Linked DNA regions of Solanum lycopersicum. The protein of the gene in region 1 binds, or shares a complex with, the protein of each later gene. Links are inferred from orthologs where the notes say so. Each region holds a gene or a part of one and is shown in the gene's direction. Other genes may lie near its edges.

Region 1 (11,786 bases):
TGATAGGGAGAAGTTTTGTGAGACGGAATTAATGGTACTATATACGTCTAACATGGCTGTGTTACTTTTGTGTGGGTATTTTTTGAAGTTGTTAAGACTCGCTATATATAGGATGTAAAAGAGTGCAAATAGTTTTACTTCTTATGGGTTCATGATTTGATTCATACCACTCGCGTTAGGGTCCGGTGTACCGGATGAGGTTATTCAAAGTCTCGAATATGAATTTTGGAATTAAAAAAATTATTGATAAGAAGTAGTCGAGTGTTGTTTTTGAATGAAATATAAATTGTATTAATCGAATTCTAATATAAATATAGAAAATAAAAAATAAATTCACTTATCTCATTTAGCTTTTCATTCGGCATCAAGCGGCGTCTAATAGATTCTGTTAATAGAAAGGATATTTGATCCTATAATTTGATGAGAAGACCATATTTAAGTCGAAATATAGTTTAAGGATATATTTTGAGCTATGTATTATTTCGAACAGTTTAAAGATATTTTTAACCCTTTTTGTAGAAAAAATAATTTCCAGAGAAAATATCTCAATTACTTGGGGCTAATTTTGGTATGTTGCGATAAAATTTAGTACAATTTTGTCTCTTGTGTAGTTATTGATTGTAAAAATAAATATATATGAAGGCAAATAATTAGTATCAAGATAAGTTATTTTATTTATAGTAGAATAACATTAGCAAAAATAGTTTTTCGGGTATAAAATAACAAAAATGTCAAAAACATTTTCCAACTAAATAAGGTAAAGGGATATTATTGTAAACAAATCAAATCATTAATAAATAATAATAACAAGATATTTATTTTTTTTAAGCTCTTTATTTCTTTTTTACTCCACAAGTAAAGTTCGTGTATAAGTGTGAATAAATTAAATATATTGTGATTTGGTTCAGAAGATCAAATTATTTAACGTTTAATGTGTAAATTTCCAGAACTTACAAATAAAACTTTGAATTATAGTCTACCTAGTTATGATGGTATTATAACGTGGTAGTAGTATTTATTTCATTAGATCCAATAAATAGCAAAGATTGTTATGCAATATTACCACATAAATTATTATTTAAAGAATTTTAGAAATTCTAATTTTCTTGTACTCATAAAATAAGAAGTAGAAATAGTGAAGGGAGAGTTGCTAGACCATTTATAGGAAAATGTAATGGCCCATAGAGAAGGAACAAAAGAAGATAATGAGACCAATATGAGTTATAATAATATAGTGATATGTATTGTTGAAATATCATCTCGAATTAACACTCATGCTTTAATATGTGCTTCGAACACTCGACTAATTTATTTTATGAAAACAAAATATATGGAAGGATGGGGCCCAAAGAGTGAGGACAAATTAAAGTAATATCACTTCAACTAGTCATGTCAAATGTAACTTCAATTGTTGTCTTATCAGTTTCACCCTTCCTTTTATCCGTGTGACAGTGGGTTAACTTGTATTGACCATTGGAATGTTTCGTGTGGCCGGTAACTTTTTTGTTTCCTCCCTTTGCCTTTTTTATTTTTTATTTTTAACTTTTAGGTGCCACTAGAATTTAGAGCAAATAACAAAACTTGATCCTCTCTACATCTAACGATAACAATAGTTTATTTAAATTAATTTCATATAGTGAAATTCAAAATAAAGTGATGTATACAAATTTTATTTTTATCTCAATATTTCTGACTAGGTAACTTTTTATTTTATAATATATAATTATTGGTAGTATTCATTGTTGGCCTCAGTACGCAGAGTATGTTGTCTTGGTTTTAATCAACATGACTCTTTAGACATCAAAAGTTGTCTTTGAACTTCCAACTTAGTATCAAAAATCACTATGAGTCTATCCGATCAAAATTATCTCATTGGTGAGGCGGAGCTACCGGTATGGAAGGGTGGTCAGCGATCACTGAGTTTTGGCCAAAAATATTTTTTAACTATATGTCAAACTTAAATTATAGCCCTAAAATATCATTTTTAGCAGATAACTATATTCAAAATTAAACTATATCTTTAAAGTATCATTTTCAGCAGAAAACATCCTTTAAGTATTTTTACGTGAACAATTTTCATCCTTTTGTTAGATATTGTCAAAAGATTAAGGGATCTTACGAAAACATGAGCAATTAATGTGACTATCAACAAATTTTATTATGCATAATTTCATTAAATCTACAATAAATTCTTGAAAATATAAAAAATCTTAGACACTGTTGCTTATGAAAACTATAAATGATTAGAAGGTGTGAGCGTACATGATTTGCCTTTTGCGCAACAGAAAGAAGTTGGAGATTAATTATTTTTATCTTTTTCTTAACCAATTAAATTATTAGATTTTTGGGTCAATCTAATATCGAAGTGACCAAAATATTGATTATGTCTTGTATTTGAGTTTCATTCTACATTATTTGAAGGGGAAGTCTCCAAAAAATGTCGCTTCTAGCATATTTAATTGAGAAGAAACTATTTAAATTAATAATATTTTAAATTAAAATTATATGAAAAATGAATGAAAAAGACGGTCAAATTAAAAGATTTTGCATAATTCTTAACTCAATTAAGAAAAAGTTCGCGATAATATTCTTGGCATATATAAGAATAACAATTAGGAAGGGACGGCTTATTTTTTGAGGGATATATCAATTAAGGATGAAAATTATTTACTTTAAAATACTTTAAGGATGTTTTATGATAAGAATATACTTTAAGGCTGTAATTTGAGTTTGAGGTATAGTTTAATGATGATTTTGGCTAAAATTTCAAAATAATTAATCTCCAACCTTTTTCAATTACGGAAAAGGCGAATCATGTACGCTCACACCTTTCAATCATTTTTAATTTCCATAAGCAACAATGTCTAAGATTTTTTATATTTTTCAAGAACTTCTTGTAGAAAATAATGAAATTATACATAATAACTTTTGTTGATAGTCGCGTTAACTGCTCATGTTTTTGTAAGATCCCTTAGTTTTTGACAATATCTAACAAAAGGATGAAAGTTGTTCACTTACAAATACTTAAAGGATGTTTTCTGCTAAAAATGATACTTTAAGAATGTAGCTTAAATTTGGGGTATAGATAAATGATGTTTTATGCTAAAAATAATAATTTAAGGATGTAGTTTAGATTTCGGGTATAGTTAAAAAATGTTTTTGGCCAAATTATACCCTATATATAAATAAAATGCTATATAATATTGCGATATATAATTAATTGAACACCTATGACAAAGTCTATTGGTCTGCTGGTAAGCATGTTCATTTACGTGCAAGAGGTCCTCAGTTGCAACATGTTTTTTAAAACATAAAACACACTCTCTTTTCAATTATGTGTAAGAGATCTGTATTAAGTGACTTATTAGGTATACACATTCTCAAGATTTTATTTTAAAGAAAAAATTAAAGATTATTATTTATTATTATACTTTTGAGTATTTCTAAAGTATCTTTCTATTTAGAAAAAGTAAAATAGTTAAGAATTTGAAAATAGGAGAAAAAAACTCATCATAATCGTGAAAGTCACTCTCAAAAGGCTCATCATAGCCCTTTTTGTGACTCGACTCAAGCTCATCATACATTATTCGATATTTGAACTATTCAGTTATTTAAATTACAAAAAACACTCGACAATTTATTTCATATGAACTAGAGGGAGTATATTTCAAGCAAAAATTATTTTGTGACTTTTGTCCATTAGTTTTGATTTATTCCATCGATAGTTTTATCATTTTAAATTTCCGCAAGATTTAGTTACTAAGTGATGTGTAATTTAATTTCTCACACATTTGCAAAAATAAATTTTGTGTACCCACTTCGCTAAAAAAATTATCGACTCTTTTAAAGTTTGAACAACCTCGGCGAAATTTCTGGCTCCGCCACTATTTGGCGAGTAACATACTCATCATACACTTTCTTGGATATATCGCGTTAATTCATTCATCATCAAGATAAATGATTTTGATCTAAAAGTTGATGTCTGGTGCAACCTCTTCATAGTGGAAAAGTGCTTTTTTTTCTTCTAGGTCTTGACTCCTTCATACATGTCCTTGATCTTCTAAATATACGTCATAGAGTCTGGCATTAATACATACATTTTATGAACCCTAAACACCCAAAGGGACCTCCAAAAAAATTTGGTGTGTGTTTTATAGAGGGTCCCTTTTAGTGTTTAGGGTTTAAAAAGTGTCCGTTTTGATATCAGACTTCTACATACCTCCAATTTCCAAACATCTCCAAAAAACCTCCTTCAAGACTCTGTCTAAAAAACTTTCCAATCAATGAACATCATATGCAAGTTTTTCTATTTGACTGTACTTATTTATCAATCTCTTTATAATGACTTTTGAATACATGTGAAACATGCTTAGATATCAAGTGTATAGAATAAATTATATCTAATTTTGACTCATATGTATCTATTTTGTAAAGTTCTAAGAGAAAATATAATTAGAAAGTATAGTTTCAACCGATAAATAACACAAATGTAAATGTGTGTTTTGTGTTGTTTCCTCTTAATTTAAATACAATTCATTCAAATTTGAATGCACTAGTGATCTACTTTTTTATTAGTTCAATCTATTTCAGTTTGTTAAAATATTAGTTCATATATAAATCAAATCGGTTAATGAAAAGTGAGTTTTATGTATTTTGAATTAGTATTTTAATTATTAAAAATTATCTATTTTTTTTTAATACATACTAAATTTTATACTATAGAAAATGTTAAAATTTCTAAATTAGCTTGTTTGCTCTTGAAATCGAAACCTCCCCACAAATTGGGACAGCGGGAGTAATTTCAATTTTGCTATTTGAAAAAACAGAGGATTTTCCGTTGGGGTTTAACCGGATCGGGCCTTTTCATCTCCGGTAATCTTTCTCGTTTTGTAATTCTCATCGTACTTCTGCTTTGTTATTAACTGTACTAGTTGTGGTTTCAGTAAAGTTTAGCTTCGTATAGTTGTGAATTCATTCTCTTGTGGCGGCTTAAATCAAGGGTTTGGTTGTCAGTGTTATAGCAAACGAAGATTCTGTTCAGAAGATTTAGAGTTCTTTTTTGTTGGAAATTTTGAGGTTGTGATTTTGACCTAAAACTGTTAATTTCATAGATAGAGAGATATTTGTATGTTAGTAATAGGGAACCTCTAGGGTTATGAAAACCTAAATTATTGAATATTGGAATAGATGGGGTTCTAATGGAGAGAATTCATATAGTAAACCCAAACTAATTCGGGATTGAGGCATACTTCTTGATTACTGAGCTAAATTAGAGATAAAGAGTAAGAGGTGCAGTTGGGATTGATTCATTTCTCACTTTAATAACTATCTAATTTTACAGTTTTAGGTTTTGTAAACTTTTTTAGTGCATACTAATAACTATCTACCCTTTTGGTTTGCTTGGGATTGCTAGCTCCTTAGCTTTAGTTTAGGATACTTGTATGAGTGCTGAGATTTTTTTTATGCCCTTCCGAATTAGAGCTAAGCGGTCGCATATTTTGTAATCTGGCATCTACCCGATGCCCATTCAAGGATAATTTTTAACCTTATCAAAAAGACATAGTTGCAGCAGTAATTTTTTCCGATGTACCTATTGATTTAACAATGTGAACACCAAATTTATACAGATGTCATGGTAGTTTTTACTTGGAGATAAGAGTTTACTGTTTGTTAAATTTCAAAGAAGAGTTTACTGTTTGTTACGAGGGATGGGCTTCAGTTTTAGAGGGTCTCACTTGATGGCTTTGTTCTCTTTGGTACAAAAGAACTATTCTTGTAATAAGATGTGGATGAAATGTCATTTAGGAATGATGGGAAATATATTTTTGAAGTGGTTTGTACATTTCAGAATCTTAGGAATTATTTCTCTTTGCTACTCAGTCCATTAGGCCAGTTCATGCTTTGATAGTTTTGGCTATTTGTGTAGTACTTGATTACATCTGATGACATTAATTTTATCCATTTTAGAACCAAAGTACCAACAGATTTCAGCTCAACAGCCATTAGTTATGGACCACTTTGGAGGAGGAAGTTGGACAATGATCCCCAACATCCAAACTCACAGTAATCCTTCGACACCCTCCAATCAAGACAATTTATTTCTTCAGCAACAGCAATTTCAACAACAACAGTTCATTCAACCGCAGCTCTATCAGCAACAACAGCAGCAGCAGCAGCAACAACAACAACGGTATCAACAACAGATGCAACAGCAACAAATGCAGCAGCAGCAACAGATGCAGCAGCAGCAAATGCAGCAACAACAACAACAGCAGCAGCAAATGCAGCAACAACAACAACAGCAGCAGCAGCAACAACAACAACAGCACCACCAATCACTTGCCTCTCACTTCCATCTTTTACAAGTATTGGGCAAAAACCATGATCTGTAGCTTGCTATTTTAATAGAGTAACGAGACATTTCTCTTTCCTAGTGAGACCTTTTGTTCTAACTTTTATTGTCATCTTACAGCTGGTGGAGAATTTAGCTGATACAATTGAAAATGGAAATCGAGATCAGCACTCAGATGCATTGGTTTGTTCATTTCTTGATTGATGCATTATATGTTAGTTTTCCATTTCTTCTACATTAAACCGGGTGTATTTTTCCTCACCAGGTAACTGAATTGAAAAATCAGTTTGAGAAGTGCCAGCAGCTGTTGACATCAATATCAGGGTCTATTAGCTCAAGATCTATGGTATTTCATTTTCACACATATCCTTTGATTTCTGTTGTAACTTGTTCTGAACACACCCCCAACTCAAAAAATAAAAAGAAAAAAGAGAGAGACTCCAACAAAGAGTTAAGCGCAATAATATGAAAACAGAACTTCAAAATTATTCTTTTCTGGAAGAGTTGGATTGTTTTTCTTTTGGCAGTGTTATTGCTTTTAATTGTGCTTTTCCATTTGGGCCTGTTTGTTCAACTTATAGTTGTGAAGAATTTTACTGAAAAGTGGGGTTCAATATGTTTGAAACGATGTTGACTTGAACAAAGTTGCTCCACAAATTCTTATTTGGTTGCATGTTTTGATGCTTAAATATGGGTAAGATAATTGACCAGTCCTGTGTTCTTTGGACAGACAGTTGAGGGACAAAAGCGCAAAAAGGCAGAGTGCGAACAAATGCTAAATCAGCGAAGGTTTGTATTATATATATATAAAACACACACACACACACATATATATATGTGTGTGTGTGTGTGTTTCTAATATTGTCTACTGAAATTTGTATAATTATTATTTGCTTCATCTGATGGTCATGTTTCATGCTTAATTACAGGGATCTTATTTCGAGGTACAAAGGCTCAGTTGAGGAGATTATTAACTCTGAACTATAGCTCATACTCGCATTTTAACCAAGGTAAAATTATGCGCTGCAAGTTGTTTTTGGCCTGCCCAAAAGAAGTTGAGTTGAATCACCTGTCATTTTGATTTTACTAGATGCAAGTGAAACAACTATGCAGTGTTCTGGATGCAGTCAATTTGTAGTTTGTTGTAATACATGAGAATAAAGTGCTCATGAGAAATTTTTATTGATGTTACTGTTGTAATCACTATGGCGCTCGCCACAAATGACTGCTCTGACTGTACTGAGAACATAAAATGTTTTGGGCCAAGGTTATGATAAAGTAATGCATTGCCTTCTTAACTGACTGATTGTATTTAAATCTAATTACATCAAAGTGAAGCAAATAATTGAAGTAACGGTGCTACCCGGGCTCTAGTCAGGCACCTGGATAGCTGATTGTTCAGTTTAATACTTGACTAGAAATAGTCTAAGCATTTAAAGTAATTTAAGTAGCCTGGAGAGTTGATCTTTCCATATATGGACTTTGAGGGCATCCGGGAGTGATCTATGTTACATATCACGTACATCGAGAACTTCCCGAAGACATGGCTTTAGAAAAATGTATGTTTGCCTAAGTTGTTGGGAGATTTGATTTGCTTAAAGATTAATATTTTTGTTACCTTATGTATTTTTTTGAGTTGAATTCAATGCTACATAGAATTCAAATCAGCATTAGGAACTTCACAAATAAGTTGGACATCGCTAGCTATCGAAATATCTAAGTTATTATTTGCATCATTCATAATCTATTCTCAGAAATCGTTAAATATTCATTTAAAGTGCACTTTAACTCTGAAGCTAGGTGAAGTCCGAGTTGGGCGCTTTGCCTTGCTTAATTGACACCTTGGCTCAGGCATCAAGTAGCTAAATAGTGTCCTTGTCATTTTTAGGAAGTTAGACTATAGAGTAAATGTCAACTTAGTTGACGGATTGATACAAAATGCTGTTTTATATATTCTTAATCGTTACGAATAAGAAACTAGAAATTAGAAATACGAAACTAGAAAAGAAGAATAGTTAGTGAAGACTTACAACTGAATTACATCCAAATTAGAAATTCAGTTTCACTTAATCATAGTAGTTCTGTTAAGTTTTCTATCCAAATGATTAGTGTAGTATTATTTTTTGTGTAGTTATTTTTCCTTGCTCTACATATATATTTTTAATATTATTCATCAGTGTTTTTCTTTGCATATGACCTCACTTAAGCTTTTCCTCTCAAGTCCCAACAGATTTTGGTGCTTTTCTACGCGTTTCACCTATAATATCTCTCGATAGTTTCAAATGGAGTATTCCTCTAGTAGCTGGCTCAAATTCTTATTTCAGGATATATTTTGTAATCCATGCTGGATCTGCATACCATCTACTGAAGTAAAACATCTTGAGTCACTAAAATTCCTCTATGCTGGTTCTGAGATCTTGCCATTTTTCTGTTTATATATGTGACAGAACTTGGCTAAAGTGAAATATGAAACATTATCAACAATGATATGACGAAACTTTATTGAACATCTGAATTTTCCCATCTGATGAAACTTTTTCTTGGCACAGGTAAAACACACTAGCAAACTTCTCCGAGCATTAGCATCATCATTGTCATGAGGAATTTGCAGAAGAACATTAAATTCGAGCTAGCGATGATGAATCCTCGAGACTCCATCATCAGATATGTCTTTATCATGTATTTCCTACAAAACCTATTTAGTGTTTTAACCTTGTTTGGATGCAAATGATTGCATCTTCCGCCATTTATTTCTATGAGACTAGACATCTAGAACTGTTTCCTTTTTTGACCTGTTGACTGCCTTAGCTCTATTACAATCATCAAACCTTAATTGGAGTTTGCTGGTACCAATGGTTAGGAAGAGCTACTACACTAGGAAGGCGGCCAAGATAGATGACCTACACACAAAAATTAAATAATTCGTATCGGCATTTATATCAAATCTCTGTATGTATTTGAATGTTCGTTTATAATTGTAAGATGAATGTCATTGATTTGAGCAAATAACAGTCGTTAGAATGGGATTGTTAACTGTGATTTGAATCAAATACTATGAATTACTAATACTATATGCTTTGTGGTCCTTAAAATAGAACAATAATTTATGGTATTATTTAGAGGGTATTGATACTTACCCACCTCAACTACACGAAAACATAATTTCTTTGTACAATTTGACGTCATTTAATTTTAGGTATTAGCACTTTTGACTTCTGTACGAGTGAGAGGAAAAAATAATTCTCTTACCCAAAAAATGCCACATTTTATTAAAGCTTGAAAAGAAAAATTTCGTTGAACTCTTATTTTGGAAAAAGGGTTAAAAAAAATGTCTTTAAACTGTGTGAAAGGAACAAAAACGCTGTTAATTCTTTGGCGCACAAATGCTCTTACTGTCAATACTTTAGTTCAAAAATGCCCTTGCAGTCAATAATACTTTGGTCCATAAATGCCCCAATAGTTACAAAATGAGTCGAAAATGCTTTTTTTCAAATAAATATATTATTATTTTTCTTTTTAAACATATCTTCTTCCTAATTAAAATATTATTAAAGAACACTATTCTTGTTTCTTTCTTCTAAAATCACTTTGACAAATAAAAATGGTTGGAAATATTCTTTTTCTTCTAAGTCTCATTTCATCAATTAAATGGAATAATTTCATGTATCCTTTTGATAAATAATATATGCCATATATATAAATTGATAGTATATCTATCACTAATTTATATTTATATAATAATAAAAAATATTGATGGTAAAATAAAATTTGTTTCATTTTTTTTTTTGAAATAAAGTAAGATAAACATTTGCTATTTTTTTAAAAAAATTAATTGAAAAAAATGTGTCAAAAAGAAAATAATACAATATTTATTTGGAAACTAATTTTTTTGACTCATTAAATAACAATAAGGGCATTTTTGGATCGAAATATTAATGACGAGTATTTTTGGACCAAAATACAAACGAGACATTTTTATTCTTTTTGCGCAATTTAAAGATATTTTTAAATTAAATTATTGACGATAAAGACATTTTTAAGCCAAACTATAAACAAAAGAGAGAATAAACAAAAGAGAGAAGAGAGTACTGTTGCAAAGCAAGTTAAGTTTAAATATAATTCAAAAGCATAAGCTAGGCATTTAATAATTAGTGCTTAAAAATCAAGTAAGGAATGGAATTTTCTTTTTGTTTTTCTCTGCTTTTTTCTTTTGGGTTTAAATAAATATAATAATATTACATTTATGTTTTTTTCCAGCTAATATAAAAATAGAAATTCAAGTAATTTAATGTCATTAATGGAATTTCGGTTGCAGTCAGATATGCTCATAAATTAGTATGTGATGAATCTCGTGAACCTTTCATTTTCAAAAAATTTCCCTCCTTTCACCTCAAAATCAAATCAGTTTTTCGAAAATCGAAAGAATAAGAAGCTGATGAGTTCTCTCCGATCCCCAAAATACATTTAGATTACCACATAAGAGAGTGATTTCAGGTTATAAAACAGTAAATCGTAATGGGAAGTGGCGATGATTATTGCAGTATCTCCATTATCACAGCTAGGGCTTGTACTGAGATTAGAAAAAGAAGATCGGAAACTTGTAGCCGGAGTTTTACTACTTGTATATCGCCGAGATGGATTTTCTCCCGGTGGTTCGAAACAGGGGAGAGAAATAAGGACGCAGAGAAAGTGAATCAGCTTCAATGTGGAAGCACCAGAAATAAGGGGAAGAAGACGAAGAAGAAGAAGGAGACGGGATTTGACACCAAATCATCTACCGCATTGGAAGATCAAGGTAAATGTTCTTCACCTTGATGCTCTGTTTTGGGCTCCCATTAATATGACTTCGAGCTGCATAAAGTTCTTATTAAAACAGTGAAACACTTTCTAATAAAAAAAATTTCATTCTCAAAGTTTGGAAGTTCGAGAATTTTGATTATGAGAAAAAAAAATTATATCTATTTTATCATAATTTTTGATGGTACAGTCTGTTTGAATCATTGTTATTCATTGTTTCAAAATGTATTATATTTTACTGTGTTTGGCTAGACTCTATTGTTCGTTGTTGTTTGATGATATTTTTATTGTATGATTTGACTGCATCATACTGTATTGTAATTTATAAAATTTACCAAAATATTCTTAATAATTCTATAGTAAGAGATTTAACTAGAATTATATGATATATTATGTCAGGATATAATTAGAAAAAGAAATTAAGTTACAATAAGAACACATCAAATTAATTGTTCCATAAAATGAGAATTTTTATTATTATTCAACAACGAAATTTAACAATATAATACAATATATTGTAAATATGATAACAAAACAGTACAATATAATGCATATATGATTTTATATTGTGTATAAAAATATATATGAGTCATTTTAATAAGTAACGAAGAAGATATTACCTTTAAATGCTAAATTG
Region 2 (4,099 bases), on another chromosome or scaffold:
TTCGAAAAATAGATAATAAATAACAAAAATATTCTTCTTCGCAAAAAGATTTCAACAATATTTATCTTTTTACAATATTGATTGAAAATTTGAATATGTATATTTCAAGTGATTAAATTAAAAATATAATTAAATTTTATGTATTAAATGTTTAAAATAGTTTCTCTCTATAAAATAATTTTAATATTAAAAGCACATCGATATTTGTTTTTTTTCGTAATTTGACTTTCAAAAACACTTTTTAAAAAAATTATTCAAACACAAATTGCTTATAAAAACACTTTTTAAAAAAATTAGTCAAACACATATTGCTTATAAAAACACTTTTCAAATGAATTTGCTAAAAAGTTTTTTTAAAAAACTTGTTTTAAGAAAACGTTTTTGAAAATAAATAGTTTTTAGATTAGTATATATTCATTTAATCAGCAAATGTATTTTTAAAGGGAAAATTGTATATAGCAAACTAATAACCTAAAATAAATAGAGTAGGTAGGGTTTGATTTAATTATGCTTCATAGTAAACGTTTGCAAAAAAATTGTCAGGCGCCTCTATCCCAAAAATCTCGTTCGCCACTCTCCTCCAATCTCTCACTCGCTTCCTCACTTTTTACACAAACACAAGTGTATAAAAATTGTTTCTAATTGTATAAAGCAGAGAAAATTGTATAAATACATATATTTTTGTTCCTCTCTCTCCCCTCTTCCAGGTCTCGCTCGCCACTCTCCCAAATCTCGCTCGCCACCCTCGCCTTTCTCACTTATACAAACAAAAGCGAAATGTATAAATTGCGTTTCTGTTTGTATAAAGCATGAGAAAATTGTATATACACATGCAAGTACATATATTTTCGTCCTATACAATTATAATTATACAATAAAAATACCACCCTGCCCAATTTCTTTTGTCTTTCTCTCTTTCTCGTTTTATACAATTCTCAAATTGTATCTAATTTCTCTCTTTCTCGTTTTATACAATTCTATTCAATTGTATATTCCTTGTCAAGTCTTTTTTGTCTTTCTCTTTCTCATTTTATACAAATTCAAATTTTATATAATCGTTCTATACACTTATAATAATGCAATTTGCTTTATACGCTTCGTTTTTATACAGTTCTCTGCCCAAGTGTCTTTCTATTTTTTGTTTTATACACTTCATTTTATACAATTTGCTTCAACTGTATATGTATAGAGAATTATATAGTTTCTATGTGTTAAAGAATGACAAAAAGTCCCACATCGGTGATTAATGAGATGAGTGAACTCCTTATAAGGCTTGAGCAATCCTCCACCCTTTGAGCTAGCTTTTGAGGTGTGAGTTTCCTTTTGAGCTAGCTTTTGGGGTGTGAGTTACGCCTAAGACCTAATTTCACACTATGTTGAATTTTTTGTTTGCTATATCTTTTTTAAAACCTTTATAACATATTAAACAAATAAAAAATTGAAAAAATGTTTTTTTTTAAAAAAAATATGCGTTAATTTAAGCAATATGTTTATTCAATTACATGCTTGTATGATAAAAATAAAAAATAAAAATTACAGGCAACAACTCGGAGCTGAGACTATCTCCGACCACCGGTGACTGCCGTTCTTCTGCCACTCATAGCCGCCGTTGAAGGTAAGGTATGATTGACTTCTCACTTGTAGATGCCGATATCAGACATCTCGCTGGCTCCTTTTTTAATAATAAGAAAAATATTTCGTGCCTGTGCGTCTTATATGTATTTGTATTTGTATCTGAGCTTTGTTTCACTCATGCATGATATGAAATATCGTTGTGCATTTGAGCTGAATTTGGGGCTTTTTGGTTCTTTCGGAGCTTCAGGGATTTGTAATTTGAGGACCTTATTTTTTTGGGTCCTAAATCCACTGCTTGCTTTAGTGGCTGGCTTTAGGGTTGAGCCGCTGCAGTCAGAGATATGAGTGATGAATTCCTCCAAAAAATGGAGAAGAGAGAAGATGACAAAGAGTTAATGAAGTAAGTGGAATATGAAATTAGTGAGGTTTTGAGAGTGTAGGACAAATTTGGAACAGCGAAGAAACATAAGACTATCACTGGTTGCTTGTTTAATAAACTGCAGATCTCAGGTTCAGGGCTATTGAACGATTCGAAAGAGCTCATTCGGAGTTGAGTGAATGGCTACTCCGAGATAGAATTTGAAAAATTGAATTCAAATTTATAAGACTATTGAACAATTAGAAAATTGCAAAAAACGAAATGATTCCATTTGAACAGTAAGGGGTGATTAATCAAGTCTGGCAATGGGTTTGAGTGTCGAAGGAAATAGCCCCTTTGCAGAAATGCTAGAGGAAGACGGTGAAATGTTAGGATTGCTCGTTTGATAATCAGCAGGTCTTGGGGGTAAAGGCGGAGCTAGGATTTGAAGTTTACGGGTTCAGTGTTCTAGTCCTTGATCGTTCGGTATGGGGGATGGAATAGACAAGGATTTCTCTCGTGGGATCAGCTATCCAACTTCTATATGGAATAGCCAATCTCAACATTTTAGAACATATCGCATGAGATTGTTATCCTGCATCTTGCCAACTACACGCAGGATAAAATAATCTCTTATAAATTAATAATTTATACATATTAAATAGATTTCTTAAGACAAATATAGAGTTCAGAGAAAAGTTGTTGATTTCGGCCAAACCCGTACCTTGAAAGAGTGTAGTAGGGTGGTAAGTTTAATGGACATAATACTTATTAGATGTAAGTTTTTCTTCTGTTTTCGGATTGATTACAGAGGATTTAGGTTTCTGATTGTTTAATTATTTGACTGCAAAGATCTCAGAACCAAAATCTCTGAAAACTGCACATAATCAGGTTTTATAGATTCTGTTTATTTCTCCACATCTAGATCGCTCTACGGCATTGCAATTCAGTAATCTTTTTCTCCTGTCCTGACAGCTTCCCTCAGAATACATGGATTCGCAAAGCCAGAATACTTCATTGCAGCGGCTGCAAAATGTTGAGAAGGTAAATGTTTCTACAGGATTATTGACTTAAGATGGGTTGATTTCAGTAGCTGCTATTCTTTGTCATCAAAATACTTAATGTTCTGATTTCAGAATTGATACTACAATATTATTCCTTCCTTGCCCGAGTCCTTGTTACTTGTTCCCCTATCCTGTATACCAAAATGTTTCAAGAAAGAAAGAGAGCGAGGAGAGTACTTTTTGAATTTAGGTGAAATCCATATTTCGTTGATTGGGTGAAACACATAGACAAGCTTGAAGATATATGGATGGTGTTATGCCTCGGTAAGGGACTCCACCATTGAGCTCTCCTAAGCCTTCTGGAGTTCCGGATCCTTCAATTTCTGGGACAACCGGACAAATGAAATGAATGAGAACAAGAGCCGCTTGGCTAGATAACCATGACTAAGAATTTCATGTCACCCACCTAACTGTCAAAATGGGCTGACCCAACCCAACTCAACCCATCCTCAAATCAGCCAAAATAATATAATTCGAAGTCAGAGAATGAAGATGGGAATAGTGTTGAGATGACGACAATGATGAATAAATCAAAGACGCTGTGGACCGAGAATAGGATCTGAAAGGGCTTTTCAAACTTCTGCTTCTGTTGGTTGCTTTCTTCCTGTCTGGCTCATTGAGTATCTTCCACAAACTCCAGGCTGATCTTCAACAGTTGGAAATCAAATCGTATTCGAGATCGTCCTGTCATATGCCCTGAATATCTACTGACACGAGTTTTCTCTGGTCTAACGGAAACAGCATCTCTGTTGTTTCCTAGTCATTGGTTTCTTCAGATTAAAAACGTGGAGATGATATAGCATGTCAAGTGCAAAGGCAACTAATCGTAATTTGATGAGTAAATCACGATCATAACTTTCAATGCGGAGTCAGTAATCACTTTTCTTGATAGAAAAAATTGTAACTGAAACATTACTCTCATACCTTCTGTTGCTGTATCTTCCTCTGATGCTTGCAGAGGATAGTCAGAGTTCTGGAGCTAGCAGGAGGTGTAATGGATGAAATGGCAAATCCGAGCGGCCCCAGGAAGGAGCTTATTAACAACCATTGTAGTGAGTTCATGCAACTAATCAAGGTAAGGACATACTTTACTTCTTTGCAC

What was found. Proteins that work in one complex are often made in the same cells at the same time.
Region 2: mediator of RNA polymerase II transcription subunit 9 (region 1) and mediator of RNA polymerase II transcription subunit 11 share a complex: the UniProt entries of both Arabidopsis thaliana proteins name them as parts of the mediator complex. The link is inferred for Solanum lycopersicum from reciprocal best matches to the Arabidopsis thaliana genes MED9 and AT3G01435.

What each region holds. Positions count from the first base shown.
Region 1 is NC_090801.1:55,595,565-55,607,350, forward strand, and holds mediator of RNA polymerase II transcription subunit 9, read left to right. Parts: upstream 1-4,551; 5' UTR 4,552-4,872; intron 4,873-5,967; 5' UTR 5,968-6,008; coding exon 6,009-6,365; intron 6,366-6,472; coding exon 6,473-6,535; intron 6,536-6,617; coding exon 6,618-6,698; intron 6,699-7,082; coding exon 7,083-7,141; intron 7,142-7,281; coding exon 7,282-7,339; 3' UTR 7,340-7,362; exon of another isoform or gene 7,363-7,650; intron 7,651-8,901; 3' UTR 8,902-9,423; downstream 9,424-11,786. Other genes in the region: TFAM1 (protein LIGHT-DEPENDENT SHORT HYPOCOTYLS 4), read right to left, coding at 1-54; protein POLARALIZATION DURING ASYMMETRIC DIVISION AND REDISTRIBUTION-like, read left to right, coding at 10,868-11,147. UniProt on the Arabidopsis thaliana protein: Component of the Mediator complex, a coactivator involved in the regulated transcription of nearly all RNA polymerase II-dependent genes.
Region 2 is NC_090803.1:5,625,740-5,629,838, reverse strand, and holds the start of mediator of RNA polymerase II transcription subunit 11, read left to right. Parts: upstream 1-1,299; 5' UTR 1,300-1,615; exon of another isoform or gene 1,616-1,620; intron 1,621-2,908; 5' UTR 2,909-2,923; coding exon 2,924-2,977; intron 2,978-3,955; coding exon 3,956-4,072; intron 4,073-4,099. UniProt on the Arabidopsis thaliana protein: Component of the Mediator complex, a coactivator involved in the regulated transcription of nearly all RNA polymerase II-dependent genes.